Linked DNA regions of Oreochromis niloticus. The protein of the gene in region 2 purifies or fractionates together with the protein of the main gene of each other region. This does not show direct contact. Links are inferred from orthologs where the notes say so. Each region holds a gene or a part of one and is shown on either strand. Other genes may lie near its edges. The genes, in order: lyar, mybbp1a and sirt7.

The links.
Region 1: the proteins of mybbp1a (region 2) and lyar purify together in Homo sapiens (affinity purification with mass spectrometry; 3 studies listed by BioGRID and IntAct, with this or other methods). This does not show direct contact. The link is inferred for Oreochromis niloticus from reciprocal best matches to the Homo sapiens genes MYBBP1A and LYAR.
Region 3: the proteins of mybbp1a (region 2) and sirt7 purify together in Homo sapiens (affinity purification with western blotting; 3 studies listed by BioGRID, with this or other methods). This does not show direct contact. The link is inferred for Oreochromis niloticus from reciprocal best matches to the Homo sapiens genes MYBBP1A and SIRT7.

Annotation. Positions count from the first base shown.
Region 1 is NC_031970.2:28,789,958-28,796,990, forward strand, and holds lyar (cell growth-regulating nucleolar protein), read right to left. Parts: upstream 3,038-7,033; 5' UTR 2,631-3,037; coding exon 2,509-2,630; intron 2,422-2,508; coding exon 2,307-2,421; intron 2,212-2,306; coding exon 2,104-2,211; intron 2,022-2,103; coding exon 1,941-2,021; intron 1,752-1,940; coding exon 1,427-1,751; intron 1,220-1,426; coding exon 1,157-1,219; intron 997-1,156; coding exon 911-996; intron 778-910; coding exon 640-777; 3' UTR 488-639; downstream 1-487. Other genes in the region: zbtb49 (zinc finger and BTB domain-containing protein 49), read left to right, coding at 5,407-5,558, 5,648-6,756, 6,858-6,904, 6,991-7,033. UniProt on the Homo sapiens protein: Plays a role in the maintenance of the appropriate processing of 47S/45S pre-rRNA to 32S/30S pre-rRNAs and their subsequent processing to produce 18S and 28S rRNAs. Also acts at the level of transcription regulation.
Region 2 is NC_031975.2:24,293,224-24,300,183, reverse strand, and holds the start of mybbp1a (myb-binding protein 1A-like protein), read left to right. Parts: upstream 1-3,928; 5' UTR 3,929-4,003; coding exon 4,004-4,180; intron 4,181-4,896; coding exon 4,897-4,992; intron 4,993-6,262; coding exon 6,263-6,346; intron 6,347-6,428; coding exon 6,429-6,503; intron 6,504-6,787; coding exon 6,788-6,895; intron 6,896-6,960. Other genes in the region: tbl2 (transducin beta-like protein 2), read left to right, coding at 507-633, 990-1,142, 1,563-2,022. UniProt on the Homo sapiens protein: May activate or repress transcription via interactions with sequence specific DNA-binding proteins. Repression may be mediated at least in part by histone deacetylase activity (HDAC activity).
Region 3 is NC_031971.2:32,548,935-32,556,641, reverse strand, and holds the start of sirt7 (NAD-dependent protein deacetylase sirtuin-7), read left to right. Parts: upstream 1-4,656; 5' UTR 4,657-4,803; coding exon 4,804-4,908; intron 4,909-5,016; coding exon 5,017-5,154; intron 5,155-6,425; coding exon 6,426-6,530; intron 6,531-6,612; coding exon 6,613-6,683; intron 6,684-6,778; coding exon 6,779-6,851; intron 6,852-7,389; coding exon 7,390-7,488; intron 7,489-7,707. Other genes in the region: uncharacterized protein cp110, read left to right, coding at 2,097-2,179, 2,409-2,568. UniProt on the Homo sapiens protein: NAD-dependent protein-lysine deacylase that can act both as a deacetylase or deacylase (desuccinylase, depropionylase, deglutarylase and dedecanoylase), depending on the context. Specifically mediates deacetylation of histone H3 at 'Lys-18' (H3K18Ac).

The DNA.
Region 1 (7,033 bases), on a different chromosome or scaffold from region 2:
CAATTACAAGGTAAGCAGTGTGATGAATGAGCATCAGTGTTAAACCTGCTGGGATTAGCTGAGCTTCATAAAGCTGGGCAGATTTCCTCCTGTTTGTGTGTGCGTCTGTGTCTGTGTGTCTGCGTGTGCGTACAGGGTAAAGAGACTGCTCATTCTAGTCGTGCAAAATCAGACAGCATTAAAACTTCACCTGAGGCTGACACCAGGCGTCTTGCTTCTATGGGGCTTCTGTGTCCCTGGCCAAGTGAACCCCGTTCGGGGTGCCGAGGAATGTGCATTAACTTCGTCCCGTGTGAGAGTCTAATTCACCTCAGGTGCACCTCTCCCGTTACCCTTCCCCCACTCTAACATCCAATCCCACAGATAAGGTGCCATTTCCCAGCCTTACCGTGAGCTTGGAATGCGTAACAGAGCAGCCATCTATCACAATTGTCATACATTAAACAGTACTAAATTTTGGAAGTCAAACAGGAACCAGACACTTAAATCAGTGGTAAAAATGTTTTATCTTCAACATCATGTCAACTGTATTTTTAAAAAAAGGAAGTCCAATGTAAGATGACAGACAACAATAAGACAATGATGGCTTTGAAATTTTAAAAATCTATGCAATATGTCAAAAGGAGAAGATGAATGAGTCTACTTTACAAGTCTAACTCTATCTTTCAAAACTCTAAGCTTTGGATTTTTGGTGATCTTGTTGTTGAAAAGTGCTAGCACTTCTTCCTCCTTCTTAAAATTCCTATCACCAGTGTAGGAATAGTAGGCAGCCAAAACCTGAAAAACATGAGCAAGCTTTTACTTTAGTGTTAATAAAAGATTATAGAGTTTTGAAACTTTAAGAGTTTGATATACAAATAAACAACTTCATCCTCATTTCATATAGCAATGAAAACACTTCATGGCTCACCTTCTTTCTGAGTTTCTTCACTGACATTTCCTGGTCAGGTGACTCTCTCAGTACTGCCTTGATGTTCCCCTTCCAATTAAATTTGCCTGATGAGAAACAGAAATCAGCTTTCAGTGCAGACACTAATCACCAAGGGTCACTTTCTCACTCTGAACAAAAGAGGCAACACTGACCTCTGCTGCCTAATCACGGACTAATCATTTATTAAAGCGGGGCAATCTCAAGTCATTGCTAGCTCCACCGTACCTTTAGTAACAGCTCGATCCTCAGTCTCTTCTTGATCATCAGCATCCTCCATTTCTTCATCAACTGGAAAAGGATGATAACAGAGTTATCTAATAAATATGAAATACACACACACTTTAGAACAAAAAAATAAACATAAATCTGACCAGACTTCACAAAGCTGCTGATGTAAACATCCTCAATCTATGCTTGAGTGTTAGAGAATACCTAAACTCAGTTTAACCATGACAGTAACAGATAATGTCTAGCACTTCAGAAATCTTGACTCACCCTTTGTTTTCTTGCTCGATGTCTCATTTTCAGTGCCATGGCTGTTCTCATCATCCCTGGGTTCTTCAGAGAGCTGTTTTCTCTTTCTGTCCTTTTTCTTTTTGCCCACCATTTCTTCCTCCAGCTCTTGTGCGACTGTATTTTCAGCACCTTTTGTAGCTTTCCCATTCTTCTGCTGTCGGGCCTCTTTGCGTTCCCGTTTGTTCAGTTTTTTCTTCTTCTTCTCTTCCTCAACACTTGGGTGGCCATTCGGCTCTTCTCTTCCATTAGTGTGCACTTTGACTTCAGCCGCTGTCTGCCGAGCTGGCTGTGGGGGCTCTGAAGCCTGTCAGACAGTGGCAGTTAAAGACAATCACCACAGCTATTGTAAACATGCTAGACTCTTTATTTTTATGGCATACTTGATGTTAAAAGGAGCAGTTTGCTTCCATTCATTTCCTGGTAACATTCAAATTTAATAAGCACACATTCACAGAAAAAACAAAAAACATGAGAACTAACAAGCCTAACTTACGTTATCAGCTGCAGCAAGTATATTCCACACTTCCTCCTGCAGACTGGGGTTTGGTATTTTGAGACTATTTTTCATCCAGTTCTGATGGGAAAAGAAAAATGTGACAGTAAATCAACATTAACATGACAACTGATTACTTTGTACAGTTTTAAGTAATACTAACCTGAAACTTGGCCTTCTTTCTAGGTACGTTATCGTAAGTACTGACTTGCTGGAGGACATCTCTTAGCTTTGCACTGACTCCAGGTTTGTTCATGGCTTCGTGGACTTTCTTCAGGAAAAGGACAAAGGTAGAACAGTTGGCTTTCCTAAGTGATCCAAAAGCTTTGCAGAGTTTTTCTTTTCTTTTCCTTCCCTGAATCTTACCTGGAGCCACTGCTGCTGTTTCACATCTCCTTTGTTTGTTTTCGCCTCGTAGCCTTTGCCTCCATACTTCTGATCTTCACTGATGCATTTAATGTGGGTTTTGTAGTCATCGCCCCTAGTACAAAAATGCACACAAATCGTTAGCACCGAGCCTGATCTAGCGCCTGTTAGCCTGGGGTAGCAGTGAACAGTCGTTAATTACCAGAAGTCTTTTCCACAGTCGATGCAGGACAGGACCTGGCAGCCCCGGCAGATATTTACATGTTTATCAACCTGAGCTTTTTTTAGGGACTCCCCACAAGCGTTGCAGGTGAAAAACACCATATTCAAAGACTCTCCTGTTTGGCTAGAGTGCGGCGATAACGGTCAAAACTGAACCGGCCTACACTCTGCGGTACTGACCTATAAACCGAAGTCGGTTAAACTCTCATGCGAAAGCTGAACGCATGTGACAGCGCTGATACGAGCTAACGTTAGCCAAAGAACGGCGGCAGACCCTGGTCCCCTAAAACTGTAAAACACTACAAAAACAAACCATCTCCTGGGAAAAGTGGAGGTCAAAACGGTGTGAGCCCACGGATTAAATCTGTTTCCTCAAAATCACATTTGAGCGCAAACGTTCAGCAGCTTCGTTATATTACAAACTTTTCCAAACACACATTAGGGTACCACTACCCAATCTGTACCGGAAACACGATCGGTACCACGCATGTGCGAAAGGCCACTACTTCCGCTCGAAGCATTTTACGGGGTCAGAATATCTGTTAAGATGTTAACAATAATAAGTTTCTCTTAAAATTTTTGCAGTAATGAAACATTTTAATATAATGTAGACAAAAACGAGAAAAAAAAAAACAGTTACGGATCAGGACTCCCCGATCCGTACCTCGCATGTGCAGATGTTCTCTTCTTCACCTGTTTCGTTTAATGGAAGTTTACTCCCCAGTGTACAAGGATACTGCCACTTGCTGACCGAGCGAATGAGCCCTGTTGTAAACTGAACTAGCGTCATTACAAATCGTGTTTGTGTATGCGTTAAATTTGATTTAGTGATAGTCGAGTGTGTTTATGATTGTCTGTGTGGAGAGGATTGATTGGAATAGTGATGATGATGTCCGCCATCACTGTCAATTGTCAGTAAACACTTAATCTGGCTGACGAATCTTCACGTGACATATTACTAAGTCTGTATTATTAATTCAATCTTCAACTCACTTAGCGAAGGTCTTTTGTTTTGCCATTTACACTTGTGCCATTTACACTTATGGATATGGTACAACAAATTTCCCACGTGTGGAACTAATAAAGGTTATCTTATCTTATCTTTGCCCATAATTATTACCACACTGTGTAGCATGGCAGGTTCCTTAGACAGAATATCATTATCAGGTGTCACGTGAAGATTCATCAGCCAGATTAAGTGTTTACTGAAAATTTGTAGATGAGGAGGGACATGCTCTAGGACACTACGATTTTTGCCAAAAATTTAATATCCAATGTTCTTAAAGTAAATTTAATCGGGTTGTAAAATTCCATTGTCACTTAAAAACATAGTCGTAAGTGATATAATATATTCTGACATCTCCCCCAAGTTAAGGTAGTTATATATAGATGGTATTCAGTTTTGTGATGTTAAATGCAATAATAAGTTTCTAAGATCTTCCTTAAGGAGTCTTTATTCTCCAAATTTATTTAGACGTAATTACATATTAAAAGATTTCCAAAAGGAAGAAATTGAAAGAATAAGAACTAATTATATCCCCTTCCCTATCCCTCCTAAAGGGAAAGAAGTCCAATTCAAAATTTTAAATAAAATTAACCCAACAAATACGCTCCTTGGTGATAGATTTAAGGTAGAAACTATTAATTGTGTATTTTGTGAAACAGAAGAGAAGGATTTGCACCATCTATTTGTTTTTGTGCAATTTTATACAAATCTTTTGGTTGGATTTTCATACCTGGCTTCAATCGAGTGGGATTCAAATTACCCCATGTACCTTAAATATGATATTGTTTGGAATGTTTCTGAAGGAAAAGAAAGTCAATTATGGTGTTAATGTTTTATTAATCTTGTGTATACAATATATACATAAATGTCGTTTTTTAAGACCAAACCAACCTTATTTCACTGGAAAAACGACCTAAACCTGTTGTTTAAATCTTTGACTTTAGTTAAAAAGAAAAAGGCTGCATTTTTTGTTTCCTTTTTGGAAGATTTTGATTTAGTGAGTTAATACTCTGTTAACTTTTATGACCCCGTCTTCTTTTAACCTTTGTACAAAGGTTGAAATTTGTATTTTCTGAATGTATAATATATGGTGCATTTTGTTTGTATGTTGATTTTGCTAAAAAACAAAACAAAACAAAACAAAACACCGGACCGTTTGGTCGCTACATTATTAGTCTTCCCTGTGCAAATGCAACCAAAGAAAAGTTCCGAGCAGGGTGGAAACGATCCTCGTGTAACTTTTTTAAATAAGTATGAACCACGTGGTTACTTTTAGCATGTCCTCTCCTTACAGTGACTTTAGCCGTTCCATTATTTAACATGGTATATCTGTATAATGGTTAACGATATTTATTAGCGTTTAGCAACTCGAAATTGAAGCTACACCAGGAAGTGACGTTTGTCATGCCTGTCGAAAAGTGACCTATCATCCAAATAAAAGTTGGAATCCTTTAATGTAAGTTTGACCCCCAACTTTATGGGCTAAGATAATATATAAGTCACAGTACCGAGGAGCAGTTCTCGATTTTAAAAGTAATTCATTCGGGATTTTGTGCTCAATCGATTTACACCGCTTAATAACATGGGTGGCTAGCGTAGCTTTGTAGCTAAGCTTAGCAGTTTGTGTCCAATTTTTGCATGGGTGGTCTTGCTGCAGAGGCACACTGGATTCTGCGCGGCTGTTGAATCCCATATGTCAATACGGTCTGTTCAAAACTGCTGTTAGCGCTTCCTGGCTCGCTGGCAGGAGAAATAAAAGGAATAACAGCTCTGGCTAATCACTCGTTGTTGTTGTCTGTTTTTAACTTGGGTCCCCTTAGCTCGCTTTTTGATGAAGACTTTGGAAGTGAGTGGTGGAGCCGCTGAGTAACCATGGACAGTTTGTCCAGCCACAGCTCCTACCTCCTCCAGCAGCTTCAGGAGCAGAGGATTCAGGGTCTGCTCTGTGACTGCATGCTGGTTGTCAAAGGTGTTTGCTTCAAAGCCCACAAAAACGTCCTGGCCGCCTTCAGCTCCTATTTCAGGTGCCATTATCTGTTTTGTAATAAACGTTAATCATACAGAGTTGCTTCAAGGTTTCCGGATGCATTAAGTATTACTCTGATCTTTTCAGGTCCTTGTTCCAAAATTCCCCCAGTCAGAAGAATGACGTGTTCAACCTAGTTATCCAGGATGTCAGTGGCATTGGCCAGATATTGGACTACATGTATACCTCCCATCTTGATATTAACCAAGATAATGTGCAAGCACTCCTAGATATCGCACAGTGTTTGCAGGTTCCGAATGTGCAGAGCATGTGCAATGCTTTCCTCAAGCCCTGTCCTCCGCCAGTGGAAATGCCTTCCTTTTCTCTCTCAGGCATGTTGGGTTCAGAGCATGACTGCCTGCTTGGAAGCAGTCTTCCTAACGATGTTGACCTGCCCTGTCCCTCTGAATCCCAGAGGCCTGGCTTCAGCAGTGACGTGGACCACACCAGAAGGATGCCAATCTCTGTGCCTAACAGCAGCTCACACTGTGAAATGGGTAGCAGCTCTCAGGCACCAGTAGAAAAGCAGCTAGCTCATGGTTACAAGCTCCGCAACTTCTACAGTAAGCAGTACTTTAAACAAAGTGCAATACAGAGCAATAGTGCAAATTCAAACCAGGGCCCTTCAGTGGTGGAAGAGCAGCAGTGTCAACTTGCGATAAGCCAGGCAGGCAACAGCACCCCTGTGAACTCAGGAAACACAGTTCAGCCTAATCAGTCTTCCATATCAGTGAGTGTGGACAGGAACCCTGACTCTTCTCTCACACCCTCAGATAATCTAAACACTCCTAACCCAGATTCCTCAATGAACAAGCCAGTGCGCCCAAAGAAGGCCGTCTACCTGAAGAAATATAACTATCTTCGGTCTCAGAAGGCTTTGGAGGAGATGTGCACTGAATCAGTTATTGAACCTGTCCTTAGCTGTTCAAAGGTGAGCCTTCAAGGAGAGACAGTGGTCCAGGTTCAAGCACCAGAAGCTCCTGTAGAAGATAGCACTGCAGCCAGAGATGAGGTTACAGACACAGCTGCAGATGCACAGCTTCCCAGTCCTCCACCTGTGAATGAAGAGGAGCAAAATCTAAAGCCTGTGCCGGAGCCAGCTCAGCAATCAGGACACAAGCAGTACTGCTGTGAGGTGTGTGGGAAGATCTTCAAACACCCGAGCAACCTGGAGCTGCACAAGCGCTCGCATACCGGTATTTCCTGATTTTAACAGCTCTAGAATCACACATTTAACGTTGAATTATAGGAATTAATTATAATGCTCTTAGGCATAAACTGATCTGTTCTGTTATAGGCGAGAAGCCCTTTCAGTGCAACGTTTGTGGAAGAAACTTCTCACAGGTATTTTCTTTTGTGCTCTTCTAATTTAATAGTTATTCTTAGATGTTCACATTAAACTCAGATGTCTGACAGATTCTGTCTTACAGGCTGGAAATTTACAGACACATTTGCGGCGTCATTCTGGGGAAA
Region 2 (6,960 bases):
ATCGTACAGTTTGAGCAGGAGCTGAATAATGCGACTGAAAAAAATCGCACAGTGTATGCCCAGCTTTAGTCAGCCTCTTGGCAGCCTAACGGTTTTAAGAAAAAAATCAACCCACCAACAAGCAATAAAAGTTGACTCTAGTCAAAGGAGTTTGCAAAGAAAAGCGTCTGGACTTCTTTAAGTTGCTTGAAGACGTTTCACCTCTCATCCGAGAAGCTTCTTCAGTTCTCTGAAGAACTGAAGAAGCTTCTCTGAAGAACTGAAGAAGCTTCTCGGATGAGAGGTGAAACGTCTTCAAGCAACTTAAAGAAGTCCAGACGCTTTTCTTTGCAAACTCCTTTGACTACGATGACCTGGATGACTGAGAACCTTCACAGACAAAGTTGACTCTAGTTTCACATGAGAAGAAAGCTGGCAAAAAAGGCTATATCTGTAAAACCTTATTTATTTATTTTTCAGTATTTGTCACCAGTTTATGGGGCTGATATTGTGTTTCTCATCCACAGGCAAGTTTATCATGAGTGCCTCCACCGACACTTGTATCAACATCTGGGACCTGAAAGGAGAGCTGCTCGCCTCTATCAACACGAACCAGATAACCAATTCTTATGCTGCCATCTCCCCGTGTGGCAGGTCAGTCCCACTCCTCATTTATTGCACAGCTTACACTTGAAAGCTTAGAAATGATATACATCTACTCTGTAAGTTTATTGTTTTACTGTTTCATGACATTAAAACAGAAAAAGTGTCTATAGGCAAAGTTTTACAGTAAGAGCTGTAGGTTCTTCTGCTTTAAATTGTTATTGAGAAAAATAAAGGTTTGAAAAGTCATGTATTGAATCAACCTTTTTCCCACATGTAAGATGATTTCTTCATATTGTTTTTACTTTTAAATTCCATTCAGTAAAATAAAAATCTAAATAAAAATAAGTGTTTGAATTGCGTGTCACTCTTTGGGAGCTCTGATCGTGCTTCGTCTATTTGCTCAGGTTTGTCGCGTCCTGCGGCTTCACTCCTGATGTGAAGGTGTGGGAGGTTTGCTTTGGCAAAGGAGGAGACTTCAGAGAGGTGGTGCGAGCCTTTGACCTGAAGGGCCACTCTGCTGGAGTCCATGCATTTGCCTTTTCCAACGACTCTCGCAGGTAATACGCTGCAATATCTGAGATGGAAAATGAATGGTTGTTTATAAGCTGAGGCAGCATAAAAAAGCCTATAAACGTTAAGCTGAGGGTAAAGAAGCCTGCTGCTGCTAACACTGCTAATGTTGGCACACTGAGAAAACTAATCAGGACAATAGTCTGACAGGGAGGCACACATTTCAGTGCTATTTTAAAATGCATTCTAAGTATCTAAAATCATTGCTCTTAAATTCACACACAGTAATTGTATGTAGTCTAACTCCATTAATAGTGCTTGGTTTTGAGTGTTTTCCTCTCTTGGTTAATCAGCCAGGAGAGCATCTCTGTTAATTAATTAGCTTTAGAGGTGGTGGGTGCATGAGGGTCCTGTGTTAAGCTGTGTTAAGCTGTGTTAAGCAGTAATGCTTTCCTTTCATTTTTCAGGATGGTGAGCGTCTCCAAAGACGGCACGTGGAAGCTGTGGAACACGGACGTGGAGTACAAAAAGCAGCAGGATCCCTACCTCCTGAAAACCATTCCCTGCAGCTCGTCTGAAGGCAGCCGGGTGGCCTTGTCTCCAGACGGCCGGGTGGTGGCTGTCAGCGATGGCTGCAACGTGGCCATGTACGATGCTGCCAGCGGAAAGCTGGAGGAGGAGCTGCACGGCGTCCACAGCGTGGAGATCACGGACCTTAGATTTGACATTAACGGACGCTTCTTGGTGTGCAGTGGCGACAAGGCTATCCGAGTGTTTCACAACGCTCCGGGCTATCGGGCTGCCATCAAAGACATGCAGGACATGCTAAAGAAGGCTCAGAACGAGGCCATGAAGCAGAGACTGCAGCAGCAGATCAAAGAGGCTCAGAGTGCCCTGGACGCTGTGCTCGCTGCCCCCTCCAACTAAACAGAAATAACAGGAAATCACACTCTGAATGTGACAGTGTCAGACTCTGCTAATCATTTGTTTGCATAGTCACCTCTGCCTCTTAATGATCTGGACTGTGAAGATGAGATTTGCATGCAATTTAATAAAAGGTATCTTTTTATGGAAGTGCTTCGTTTGATTTGAGACATTTGGACTTCTGAGTGTGATGTGCTGTGATTGTGTTTGATTTGTCATAGTTTGTGAAATTGGTCTCATAGTTCTTCAGAGTCACTATGTGGAAAAAGGAACAGATTAACAGTCCCTTTAACATCTAATGGCCACTGTCGGTTTGGGTGCTTCATTTCCGAGTCCAGGTGTTGTCTGTGCTGACTCACTGTGAAACTTTGAACACAAACTAATGTTAATGTTATTAGTCACACCTTTGCTTTTCCTACTGTGGTAGGTCAAAATTTCTGCTGTGAAAAAACAAGTTAAAAGTAATATTTTCCCAGAGGGTGGCATTGAAGTAAAATTCCTTTTCTGCTTATTACATCCAAAGTAAATCTTTGGAAATCTCCTGTTTGAAATCCTTAAAGCTTTATCTAATGGTATTGCTATTGAGAGCTAAAAATTAGGCCTCAGTTGACACCTGTGCACTCTCACATGGGTGTACAATTCGGTGCAAATACCATAAGAGGATTTGACTTCAGAGCAGAACGTAAATTGTGAGGTGCCTTTCAAGTACAACCAACTAAAAGAAGTGTGAGTGAGATGTCTGGCATCTAGAAAACACAGGTGAAACCACGTCTTTGGATCTGTGAGAGTGATGAAAAAAAAAACTTCAAAGTCAGTCAAACTGGGGAAGAAAAACTAGCTTATTCCTCAGTCCATCCTAGCAGCCCACTGAAGGTGTATTTGATCCTCACAAACAGATATTTTATTCCAGAGTTGTAGCGGGGAAGTCTGGAGTGTCCTGTAATCCCCAGAAAGTCAAAGCATATCAAAATAATCCTCAGGATTTGCAGAATTTGTAACTTGTTTTGAATAAAGGCATATATTTGATTACAGTGTGCTCGTGTTTGAGGATTTGGGTATAAAATACGACCTTAGGTATCTTAATTAAATTGTGCAGTCTGGATTAATTTTTGTAGCTTTAATAGAAGACTTGATTTTTCTTATTGTCCCATGACAGACATCCTGAATCTCTGTGCCCTTTTTGGTATTTTTTTAAGAGTGTCAGAATGAATATTTTGTAAAACATCACCAAAAAATAAATAAATAATATTCCCTTAAACAACATTAATCAGTTATTTCCCAGTCTTTCAGACCAAGACATGGACTTGTTACATTAATCAGAAAAACTGGGTGATCCAGTGTAATGTGTGGCTTGAGTAGTTTATATAAAGAATTCTAAGTCATTTATAGGGTGGAGAACAGATTCAGAATACTTTATTGATCCCAGAGGGAAATTGTTTTGTTACTGACACTGAAAATATAAATATGAAAGACTGAAAATATAAAGTGCAAATTTTAAAAAGAGTAAAACAAAGACACACAAAGTGCAATGTTAAATTAAAATAAAAATGTTCAAATTCTAGTGAAAATGTAATGGATGGACAAATAAAGGCAAATCAAATGAAAAAAGTGTCACCATTTATTTTAACCATTTGGATGAAAGAAAACTTAAAACAAGGCTCATGGTAACAAAAACATGTTGTATGATATTAATTAAATGTAATTCAATAAATAAATGCATTGATATATTTTTATTATTTAGCATTATTATTATTTGAATATGTGGATATATATGCTCATTTTAACAACTCTTTTAACAATATTATATTATATTATATTATATTATATTACATTCCCTTCTGTGAATCGCTCAATAAAGTTTTTTTCTTTTTTTCTTCTTAAAAAAAACATGGCTGGTGAGTTGACCCGGATGTAGTTTCCGTGAGTGAGGCACGTGTTCCCCCTGCAGCAGCATGAGTAGAGGTGGTGGTGGCATTTCGAACAGATGTCTGTAGAGATGGTGGAGCTCTCAGTGAAGGCGGCGGAACCGCTCCGGCCCGCCGGTAACCTGCAGCAGAACCGGGTCTTCCTCGACTTCTTCTGGGACCTGGCCAAACCGGATCAAGAGGTCCGACTGAAGGCGGTGGAAAACCTGATACAGTACCTAAAAACCAACAACAAGGTGAGGCAGAGTGCGATCGATGACACTGAGAGACTCCCTGAACGGAGCGTGGTCCCGCTGCACATGTACTCCTCAGAAGTTTTCCACTAATATTTTTAGAAGTAGTAGTTGTACACATAGTGTCGTATGGAGAGGTGGGAGATGTTTTCATATGTAACTGATTATATGACTGGATATCATACAGGATATCATTGACACACTGAAGTATTTCAAGTATCAAGAATTTAATACTCATATAACAGAGTCAGGCCTATATTATTAACATAAGGCACTATTACCGTAACTACCTGTGTATAAGTACTTGATCAAAACTTGTTAAAATACCTTGTATACTTTATAAGAATCAAAACATCAAATAAAATTGCTTAATAATATAGTAAACTTTTTCTTACCGTACTGCAAGTAGAAATACTGTAAAGCACAGTAAAGTATTTTACTGTCAAGGGTCAAGGTTTAATTGCATGTTTACAGTGGAACTCCATTACCCGTAATGAAATCCTTGGAATCAGAGTTTTATCTGATTGTTGTTGGTCATTAAACTAAACCCAACACTTAAATAAAAAAATATTTATTAAAAAGTGCAATTATAAAAATGTCTGAGTGTAGTATGTAGTATTTCATGTATAAGTATATTCCAGGATATATATATGATTCCACATAGTGTTAAAGTGTCTGTAGTTTAAAAGTTTTAAACAGTCTTTCTTCATGTGTTGCAGGAGGATGAGTTGGAATACACCTTTAAAAGGCTGGTGGATGGACTGGCTCACACACGGGAGACTGCGAGACCTGGGTTCAGCCTCGCTCTGGGGCAGGTGAGTGGAGTTTATCCCCATCTATCTTTGTCTGCGGACCTGCCTCTGTGCACCCATCCACAGCTTCAGCCACATCTTTGTTTCAGGGTTGGGGTTAATAAACACAGTGCAGCAGTTCAACACTACTTTTAATAACAAAAATCCTCTTTATTTATCTTCATAAGTGATAAAATTCCTGGATGTGGCTTTTATGTGCTAAGAGATGGTTGTGAGACCTGCTATGATGTATAGTTTGGAGACTTCGACTGACAAAACGATAGGAAGCTGAGTTGGAGGTGGCAGAGCCAAAGATGCTAAAATTTTCACTGGGAGAGAGCAGGATGGGGAAGGTTAGAAATGAGTACATCAGAGGGACGGCTCAGGTTGAGCTTTTTGGAGAAAAAGTTAGAGAGGTGAGGCTGAGATGGTTTAGAGATGTAGAGAGGAAGGATAGCAGATGTTTAATACAGAGCTGCCAGCCAGGAGGAAAAGAGGAAGACCAGAGAGCAGGTTCATGAGGAAGGAAGACATTGCAGAGCGTTGGCACGACAGAGGAAGATGCTGGGGGATAGGGGGATGTTCAGATGATCTGCCGTGACGACCTTTAGTTGTCAAAGATGAAGATGAGGAGAAAGAGGCAAATGACAAAGTCACAGAAGCAGATGAAGAAGACAAAGAAGATAGAGACAAAGAGAGAGAAGCGATGATTTGTGTGTAAAAGACTTATACACACCTTTTTTTGGCACATTTTTGTATGTACAAAAGTGTCACTATAAGCTTTCTATAGCAATAGGTTATGACATCAGCATGTACACATATACCTAATAAAGTGGTCAAGATGTGTTGCCGTTACTCTTCATTAAAGAGCAAAATTCAAAAGTCTAAGGAGGACATGTGATCATGTTAAAAGCTAACCAGTCAGCTGTAAAGCCCAGCGTTATATTTATCTTAAATGAGGGTGGTAGCCAGAAGTTTCCAGGGTGTCATTACAATTTTGTTTTTCCCCTGTCAAACATGGATATACCTTCTCTCTACCTGTGCTTCAAAATCCTGAATGAATCATCCTGTGCTTTCTGCCTAGCATGGACAGTCTCCCTTTATTTGTGTATCGCCTTCTGTACAGCGTCATGCAATTTAAAGTGCTAGTTTTACCTTATTTTAAGATGAGTATTGAACTGAATATATTGGTCACATGGGTTTCGGAGTGTGTACAAAATGCTGTTTTGCTGCTAGTGTTAGGAAGGTGCTCTATAATAACTGAGCTAAGCAGTAAAGTTTCCTTTATTTTTAGGTCTTGAGTGCCTTTGAAGATGTCTCCCTGCAGAGTATACTCAACAGAATCAAAGAAAAGCACAACTTGCAAGGAGCTAAAAAGGTGAGTTTTGGGTGTTTGGTATCTTTTAGCACCAAAATCGATGAATGCAATCTTTGAACTTGTTTCATCTTTCGTCTTTCAGAAATTTGCCAGAAATGCTATGTTTGGAAACTTGTTTGGTGTTCTCGCCATTCATCAGTCCAACCGCCTCTCTAAGGTAAGTTTTCTCACATTTTTAGCATACTTGGAAAGGTTTTTGCTGCATTAAAGAGGAGAATGTGCCTGAGACAATATATTGAAGACGCCTGCAAATATTTAAGGGATAGTAATCATAGGGAAAGCAGGGGAAAAAAATGATCATGGTTGCATCACTTTCAGGTTTTTGTACGGTTGTAAATTTCACAAGAAATTTAAGATCCAGGGAACAGAGGAGATCCAGGACAGCTGATGCTCTATCAAATACGTTGTGGTCTCTGAGCTCTCTGTCTTGTTTCTGTGCAGGAGCCACAGGTGGTGTTGGGATGTGTGCAGCTCCTGCAGAGCCTCAGTCAGCACAAACAACACCTGAAGGACCTACCCACCAAGACCATGACGGACATCCTCTCTGAGGTGACAGCTGCAGACTAGTTACTGCTATAAAAATGGTCTTTTTCAACAATTTTCAGGGGTTTTCT
Region 3 (7,707 bases), on a different chromosome or scaffold from region 2:
GGTAAAACTGAATGATATGATGTTGTTACATTGTTTGACAGACTTCGGGTGTGTGTGTGTATACATATTTATATATGTACACAAAATCATGAATTCATTTTAGTGCAGTCAGAGAAAGCTTTTAACAAAATTAACACTGGATCATCTCTCCAGCAGGAAGAGAAAATATGAGTGGATGGGATGAGCAGCTAATCATATTTCACTTTATGTTCTCTATTCCTTTTACTTACCCAAAGTGTCCTTCATAACAGGTGATTAACCTTATGTTTAACTCCTGACATGCACAGGATATGCATATAGTTAGCTATAACTTATTACAATACAATACTACCCATGTTCCTGTGTACCACAGCAGAAGACTCATTAATTCATAAGTGTGTGATCATGTGACAGCAAATCAAAAGGTTAAAGTAAGAAAGACACATACTGTTTTGGGTTTTTTACTCAGTTTCACTGTAAAATTAGATCTCATGAGGATGTAAGAGTACACCAGCTGGGTCAAAAGAAGCATCACGCAAACGCAGTTGTGGTTAGAAGTTTGTATACACTCACTGTCGGCATGAATGTCACAGAAAGTTTGGTCTTTGTTCATTTTTAACTTCATTTTTCAGGGTGGAATGGTACATTGTACAGCATATACATCACACATCTTTAATGACTTTTAAAAAGTCACAAGATTTAATTTATTTTGGATTTTCTGCAACCCACACAGGGTCAAGTATACATACAAGCTCAAATATATCCATGCACCCCCACTAATAGTTGGTTAAATTTCTTGCAGCAAGTTCGACCTTGACCATATCCTTTTTGTAGCCATTAACGAGCTTCTGGCATAGTTCTGGCTGGATATTTGACCATTCTTCTTTACAGAATTGATTCTGAGTTCATTTAAACTGGTTAGTTTCCTGTTATAGACCCAGCTGTATGGAGCCCCAGAGCATGATGATGCCACCACCATGCTTGACAGCTGGTCTAGTGTTTTTATATTTGAAAGTCTCACCTTTATTCCTCCAAACATAGACCTCTGCCTCGTCTGACCATAAAACTGTTCTCCAGAAGGCAATTGGCTTGTCCATGTGGTTAGCTGCATATTTCAGTCTAGCTGGAGGTGTCGGTTTTGGAGCAAAGGCTTCTTTCTCTGCACCCTCTCAGTCCATTTTGAGTTTCAGCTCGCTTCACTGTGGATACTGATGCTGACATTCAGCAGTTTCCAGTTCATGGCAGTGTTGAGCCTTGGTGGTTCTTGTGTTGTTCCTGAACATCCAAACCAATTTCCTGTCATCTGAGCGTGACAGTTTGGGTCTTCTTTCAGACCCTGGCAAAGTGGTGACACATAAAAATAACATGTACTTTGATACAGTTGTTTGAACTGGAGATATTGGAATCTGTTTAGAAATAACTCCAAGAGACCTTCTTAACTCTGGTAAATCCACAGTTCTCCTTCTTAGATCTTCACTGAGTTCCTTGCACTTGACTTCATTGTTCTAATTATTGATCAATCCGATGAGTGCCATTAAACAAATTCTTCTAATGCTGGCAAAGAGAAACTATCAGCTGTAGTGTGTCTGTGTAGGTTCTCAGTCATCCAGGTCAGGAGCTTGGAAAGAAAAATTTCCTGACAACGTTTCACCTCTCATCCGAGGAGCTTTAGAGAAAATTCAAAATAAGTTCAAACGTATGTACCAAATTTTTGTTTGTTTGTTTTAAGATACATGCTGATGACAATCATGTCACCGTGGAAAAAGAACTGTTTGAAGAAATCATTATAGGCCCAAAAATACCACGGCATTCATGCCCATGATGATTGTATGTAAACTGCTGGCCACAGCTGTATTTATAATCATAGTGGTTATTTTATCACTTATATGTGATTCACATATAAATATGGTTGCTGTTATACTTAGAATACCTCCCGGTGATAACGCCAAACTATTTGAATTGTATTCATTCTCCTGTTCTGAGTTTCTAGGCTGAGAAGTAGAAATTCAAATATTACATCAACAGTGTATGGATTTGCTTTTGATACTGGTGGCTGCTGCAGAGACTGTGTTCTAAATATTGTGCATTTTTACGTGTGTGCGTGCTTGTGTGTTTAGGGTTCACAGACTGGCCGCCCGAGAGGAAAGAGCTTTCTGTCAGCTGCAACACAGAAGTCACTGGAGAGGAAAAGAGGAATGATGTGAGTTTTTCCTGCATCGTTGCTGTTTTTCTGTTTTCTTCACAAATGTGAACCGAACCCAGTCATTACAAGTTACATAAGAACCACTGGAGTGGGTTTTTATTGCAAGGTAAAAATGCAGCAGTTCCTTTAATTTTGTGATGAATTGAAAATCCTGCACCACAGAAAGAAAAAACTTTCTTCTTCATTTCTTTGTCAGCTCCTAAAACTTGTCTTGTCTTTGTTTCAGGATCCAAAGAAAGGCTGCAGGAAGGCACCGGGGGGTTATGACGAGGACAGCACAAAAGTCTGGATTCTCTGCTGAGCTCCTGCCAGAAACCAAACGAGGACATTTCAGAGCAAATCCTCAGAGGGTCCCCAAGAGCGCTTCCTCCTCTAGACCCCAATGACACCTTCCTAATTGGCCCCAGTGAGAACTCCTAACAAGCCCTCTAGTGATTACATGAATAGAGTATTACTAATCATCTGAGAGTTTCCAAATCCAAAAACCAAATTTGATTCAAATGGATGACTAATGTATATCATTGTATTTCATCTCAGGGGCTTTGAGAACATTTTTGACACCATGGTGTCTACAGAGGAGCGGCTATGTCACGTCTGCTTCCGGCATCTTTTAGTTATTTATTTATTTATCTTTTTTGCCATCTTCAGATTATTCATGTTGAAGATATTTGTGTGAAAATGTTGAGTTGACAGAAAAAATCGTTTGGCAGCAACTATAAAGGGTTGTTCACAGCACCTGAAAGATTTATAGACTCTCAGCAGATGTTCTGACAGCTACAGTGAACAGTATTGATCATCTCTCTGTTCATTTGGGTACTAGAGGAAGACAGCAGTTCATAAATTTGGGGTCAAATATTAGATTTGTGTTGGGAACAAATACTCTTTAGTAGGTTGTGCGTTGTAGTCTTCATATAGGCAATCGCTTTGTTTAAAGGTGACCTATTGTGCTTATTTCCAGCCTAATATTTTTATTCACGAACTCCACTAGAGTGGCTTTGCATGATTCATAGGTAACAGAAATCCTTATTTATCTTTTGCTGAGGCTTGGTGCAGCTTCTCACTCCATCCACTGTCTGAAATAAGATACTTTAGCTCCTCTTTTGTTAACTTTGTGACCACTTTGACTGAAATTTCAGGACCACAGATCCTTAAACATAATCTTAAAGTGTGACTGTGGTCACATGCCTTAAAGTTGGCAAGCTAATAGTTACACAGCACCTTGTTTCACGTTTGCTGACATTGGCAGCTCTTTGCCTGCATAAGCTTTATAAACATCTATGAAACAGAATAAAATATACTTCAATCTTACTCTCAGATTTGAAACATAGCTTGGAGCTTTGTTCTGCTTATTTTCAGCTCCATTTTTTGTTGTTTCACTCTACCAGCATGGCTTTGCATGATTAACAGTTAAAAGTTTTCCTTATTATCTGATACTACGCCTTGGCGTAGCACCTCGCTCCCATTAACTAGCTGAAATGAGCTGTTTTAGTCAACTTTCTCCTGATTGGCTGCCCCTCATAAAACGGGTTTCAAGTAGGAAGTGGGTGGGACTTCTGTGCCTGATAAGACCATATTAGGGATATCCTCTTTCTTTTAAAGCCAAGCATAGATAAAACAGTTAGAGCAGTGTGAAGCCTTAACTTTTGTCTGTGCCACAGTATTTATGACAGAAAACAAGAAAAATTATTATAGATCCACTTGATGATGTTAGGAAGTAAATATGTGGTAGATAAGCCTTTTCAGAGCAGACACTTTGGAAAAGCACCCTTGTATGTGCTGTGCTGTATGGCTCACTGTTACATTTAATGGGAAATAAGCATTGCTTGTGTTTTTCCTGCTGCTGTTATAAATCTTTGTCTTTTGTGGAAAAAAAACAGTATTTCCACTTTTCCACAAACACATTGCTGGTGCTCAGTGTAGTGCAGACTAGTCCCAGGTGACAAAAGCTGAGGCCAGCACTACACTTCAGAGATCCCAGGCACGGTGATTTAGGCACTCAGGTCAGTGACCATGAGAAGGACTATCACAACAACCAGCAGAGGCAGTCCTCAGATTCTCTCTGTCATCATTTTTCTTGCCACAGTAGCTCTTAACTTCTCGCAACTCAGCATAATCACCACTAAAACCAGTTGAGGGGTGGGCCGGTTCTCTGGAAGCTCTCTGCGTGGATGGAAAAGAGGTGCATTAGGACACCCAGCTGAAACACACCTGTTCATTCATCACCTTCATGATTCACCACCTCTTGTATTCACACATATTAAACCCTGCTTGTGTGATATGAGTAGTATTTTGTTCGTCTTCTGATATTTGACTTGAAGTGTTACTCTTCGTGTTGCCTTAAATATTTGTAGCTAAAACCTTTTGCAAATTTTGTATTGTTGTGGATTTTTGATTTGTTTTAAATGTTATTTATTTGTTCGTGTTTGATAATAATAAACTTTTATTTACACTGAGTTGCTGATGTGATGTGTGAAACTGAGGGAAAATACAGACTCCCAGCAGCAGGGGGCGGTGTTCCCGGCTCTCACCCGGTTTCTTTTTTACCTTCCGCTTCCGGCTGTGTCTGGTGCTATGAGCTTTGTTTTGAATAGACGTCTTCTCGTCAGCTGATTGAAAACAGGATGGCGGAAGAGCAGGACGCCGGTGTTTCTTCCCGGGCGCAGAGGAAAGCTTTGAGCAAAGCTAAAATACTACAGCGAGAGAGCGAGAGGGAGGTCTTCAGACTGGTGAGAGGGGAGAAAACAGATGCACATTTACAGCTAGCAGGCTAGACTAGCTCATGTTTGCTGTGTGCATTGTGAGGCTTACCCGGTTCCTCTGTCTTCCTCCCGCAGGTCGGGCGGGTCCTGAAAAAACCGGAGTCTGAGCGGTCAGAGGAGGAGGCCGCTGCTCTGCTGCTCCACAGAGACACTGTGGAGGAGCTCTGCAAGAGACAAGTCCGCAGAAATGTGCTCAAGAGGAAGCAGGAAGAGGTGAGACTCCGGCCCAGAGAGGCTGGATCTGGCCTGCTAAGATTGGTTTGTCAGCTAGAGGGACAACTTGAGAACAGAAGTGGAAGCAGCAGGTTTCTGGGTTGATTGTGTGAAGACTCAGAGAGGTTGAATGGTAGTCCCTCTTTATGCACAAAGTCTAATAAATACAAAAGGACTAAACCCATTCTGTTAAATGCACTGGTACTTGTACAGTGCTGTTCTGCTCTAAATGGGCACTAACAGCTTCATTCACCCAATCACACACATTCATTTCTTACACCTAAGCACCTTTTTAACATTCACACATGCACTCCCAGTCTGATGGATGCAGCAGGCTAGATTCGGGCTTCAGTATCTTGCCTAAGGATAAGTCAAAATGCAGACTGGAGGAGCCAGAGTCAACCACTGGTCTCCTGAGCTACCACTCCGGTCCTCATGGACTGCTCATGGAGGAGCAGTATGAGGATTCAACATCTACCCATTTATTATCAATAAGAGTTAACACACGCACACATACAACCAGAAGCAGTATCTCTCAAAGTGCTAAATGTTAGCAGCTATTTTTGTTGGTTTTTAATCCTAGACTTAGCCAAAGTATGAACTGAGGAGCTGAACCAGGCGTGGTTTAACTCTTTTCCCCGTAAAGACGACATTTGACAAGCTCCCCAGTACCCTTAATGACATGTATTGACACCTCAGTACCAATATACTCTGATTTGAGTTTGATGACCACTAGAATAGTTTATGAAGGTCAGCTGCATAGAGAGACCACCCTCACGAATTTCTGATGGAAACCCAGTCATTTTGTTCTATAAGCAGGCCTAAAATATGGTAAAAACCACTCTGTTCAGAAAAGAGCTTCAAGGGTTATTCCTAGTAGGCTAAAACAGGGTGGGAGACATTACTTGTTAAAACATCCTGTGTTTTCTTCCTCTCTTAGAAGCATTTGTGGTGTTTAAAAAACTTTCATTAAAGATCATGGTTGGGTGACAGTGTCCTCCTGCTCTTTCTGCTGTGAGAGGGCAGCGAGGCTTCAGAGTGAAACGTACAGTAGTTTACTGCATGATTTTAAAAATTAAAACTGCTTCTTTTGCTTCGGACTTCCTCCCTTCAGTGATCATTTTACATTATTTTGTCATGGTTTAAAAAAATCAGATGCAAACCATCGTCACCGTCACTCCCTGACCCACCCTCCAGACAAACCCTCAATCTTTTTCTGATTATTTTTGAAGCTCTAATGGTCTTTAGTACATCCCTAATGTCTTTTTCAGGTATTTGATGGTGTTGATGAGCTGAAAAATAAAGTCAGGCAGCTCGCTGTGGCAGTCAAACAAGCCAGTCACCTGGTGGTTTACACTGGAGCCGGTATCAGCACGGTATGTTAAACTCTTCCTCTTCATTTTCGCCTTCCTTTTCCTTTTTAAACTTTCACAAAACTGACATCGTCTATAATTTCAGGCAGCTTCTATCCCTGACTACAGGGGCCCTAACGGGGTATGGACGCAGCTACAGAAGGGTCGGGCCATTAGGTGAGATACAGAGTGTTTACTGTGACATGAAATATATGTATTACTCTCCCCTAGTGCATTCTGTTTGATTTATCTCTGCGTTTCTTTACGAACAGCTCGTCAGACCTGAGTAAAGCGGAGCCGACGCTCACGCACATGTGCATTAAGATGCTTCATAAGGAAAAGCTGGTATGTCACACCAAAGTCCTCCAGGAACATATTTTGAATTTGAATATTGAATATTTTGCATTTAAATGAGTGATTAGAGATTTGTAACTTCAGTTTCAATGGTTACTGCGACATAAAAACAGCATCTAAAGACTCATCAGTTAAATCCAATAATTAAAAGAAAGCTTTAAGTTAAAAACGTTATTTACTTTTTCCAGTTATTCATTCAGACAGAAGCTTCAAAATAACTTCCAAGATGTTCCAAAATCACAAGACTTACTTCTAGAAGGATTTTAATACGGTTAGCCAAGAAAAACAATAGCTACACTTACCAGAACTTTACTATGATAACAAGCAGATGTGACACACACCTGAAACATGATTGGTTATTTGTGTTTCCTGCTCTGGCATTGATAAGGACAGGACAGCGTCCATCTTTAGCGTTACAGAATATTACCTCGGTTTACCCCGGTGCTGCGTCTCCTCCTTGTAGCATCTGTGCTCACATCACATTTAAAGGCAGTGCTTCATGTTCTGTCTTTGTTTGCTCTGTGTAAAGGTTAAGCACGTTGTGTCTCAGAACTGCGATGGACTTCACCTGCGTAGCAGTCTGCCCAGACATGCCCTCTCTGAACTCCATGGAAACATGTTTATTGAGGTAAGAACCACGCATCCTCAGTCCTTAGACTTTGTAGAAAGCCTGGAAAGAATTTGCTGTGATGTTTCTAAAAACAGCATCTAAACCTAAACCCCTACAGATCCAGACGTGTTTGTTTCTCATGCAAAAATATTTCTCAGGTGCATCATGTCTTAAAAGCGCTGGAGGTTAATGTTGCTTTTTAACAGCCGTCACACACGCTGCTTAAATTGCTGCTCG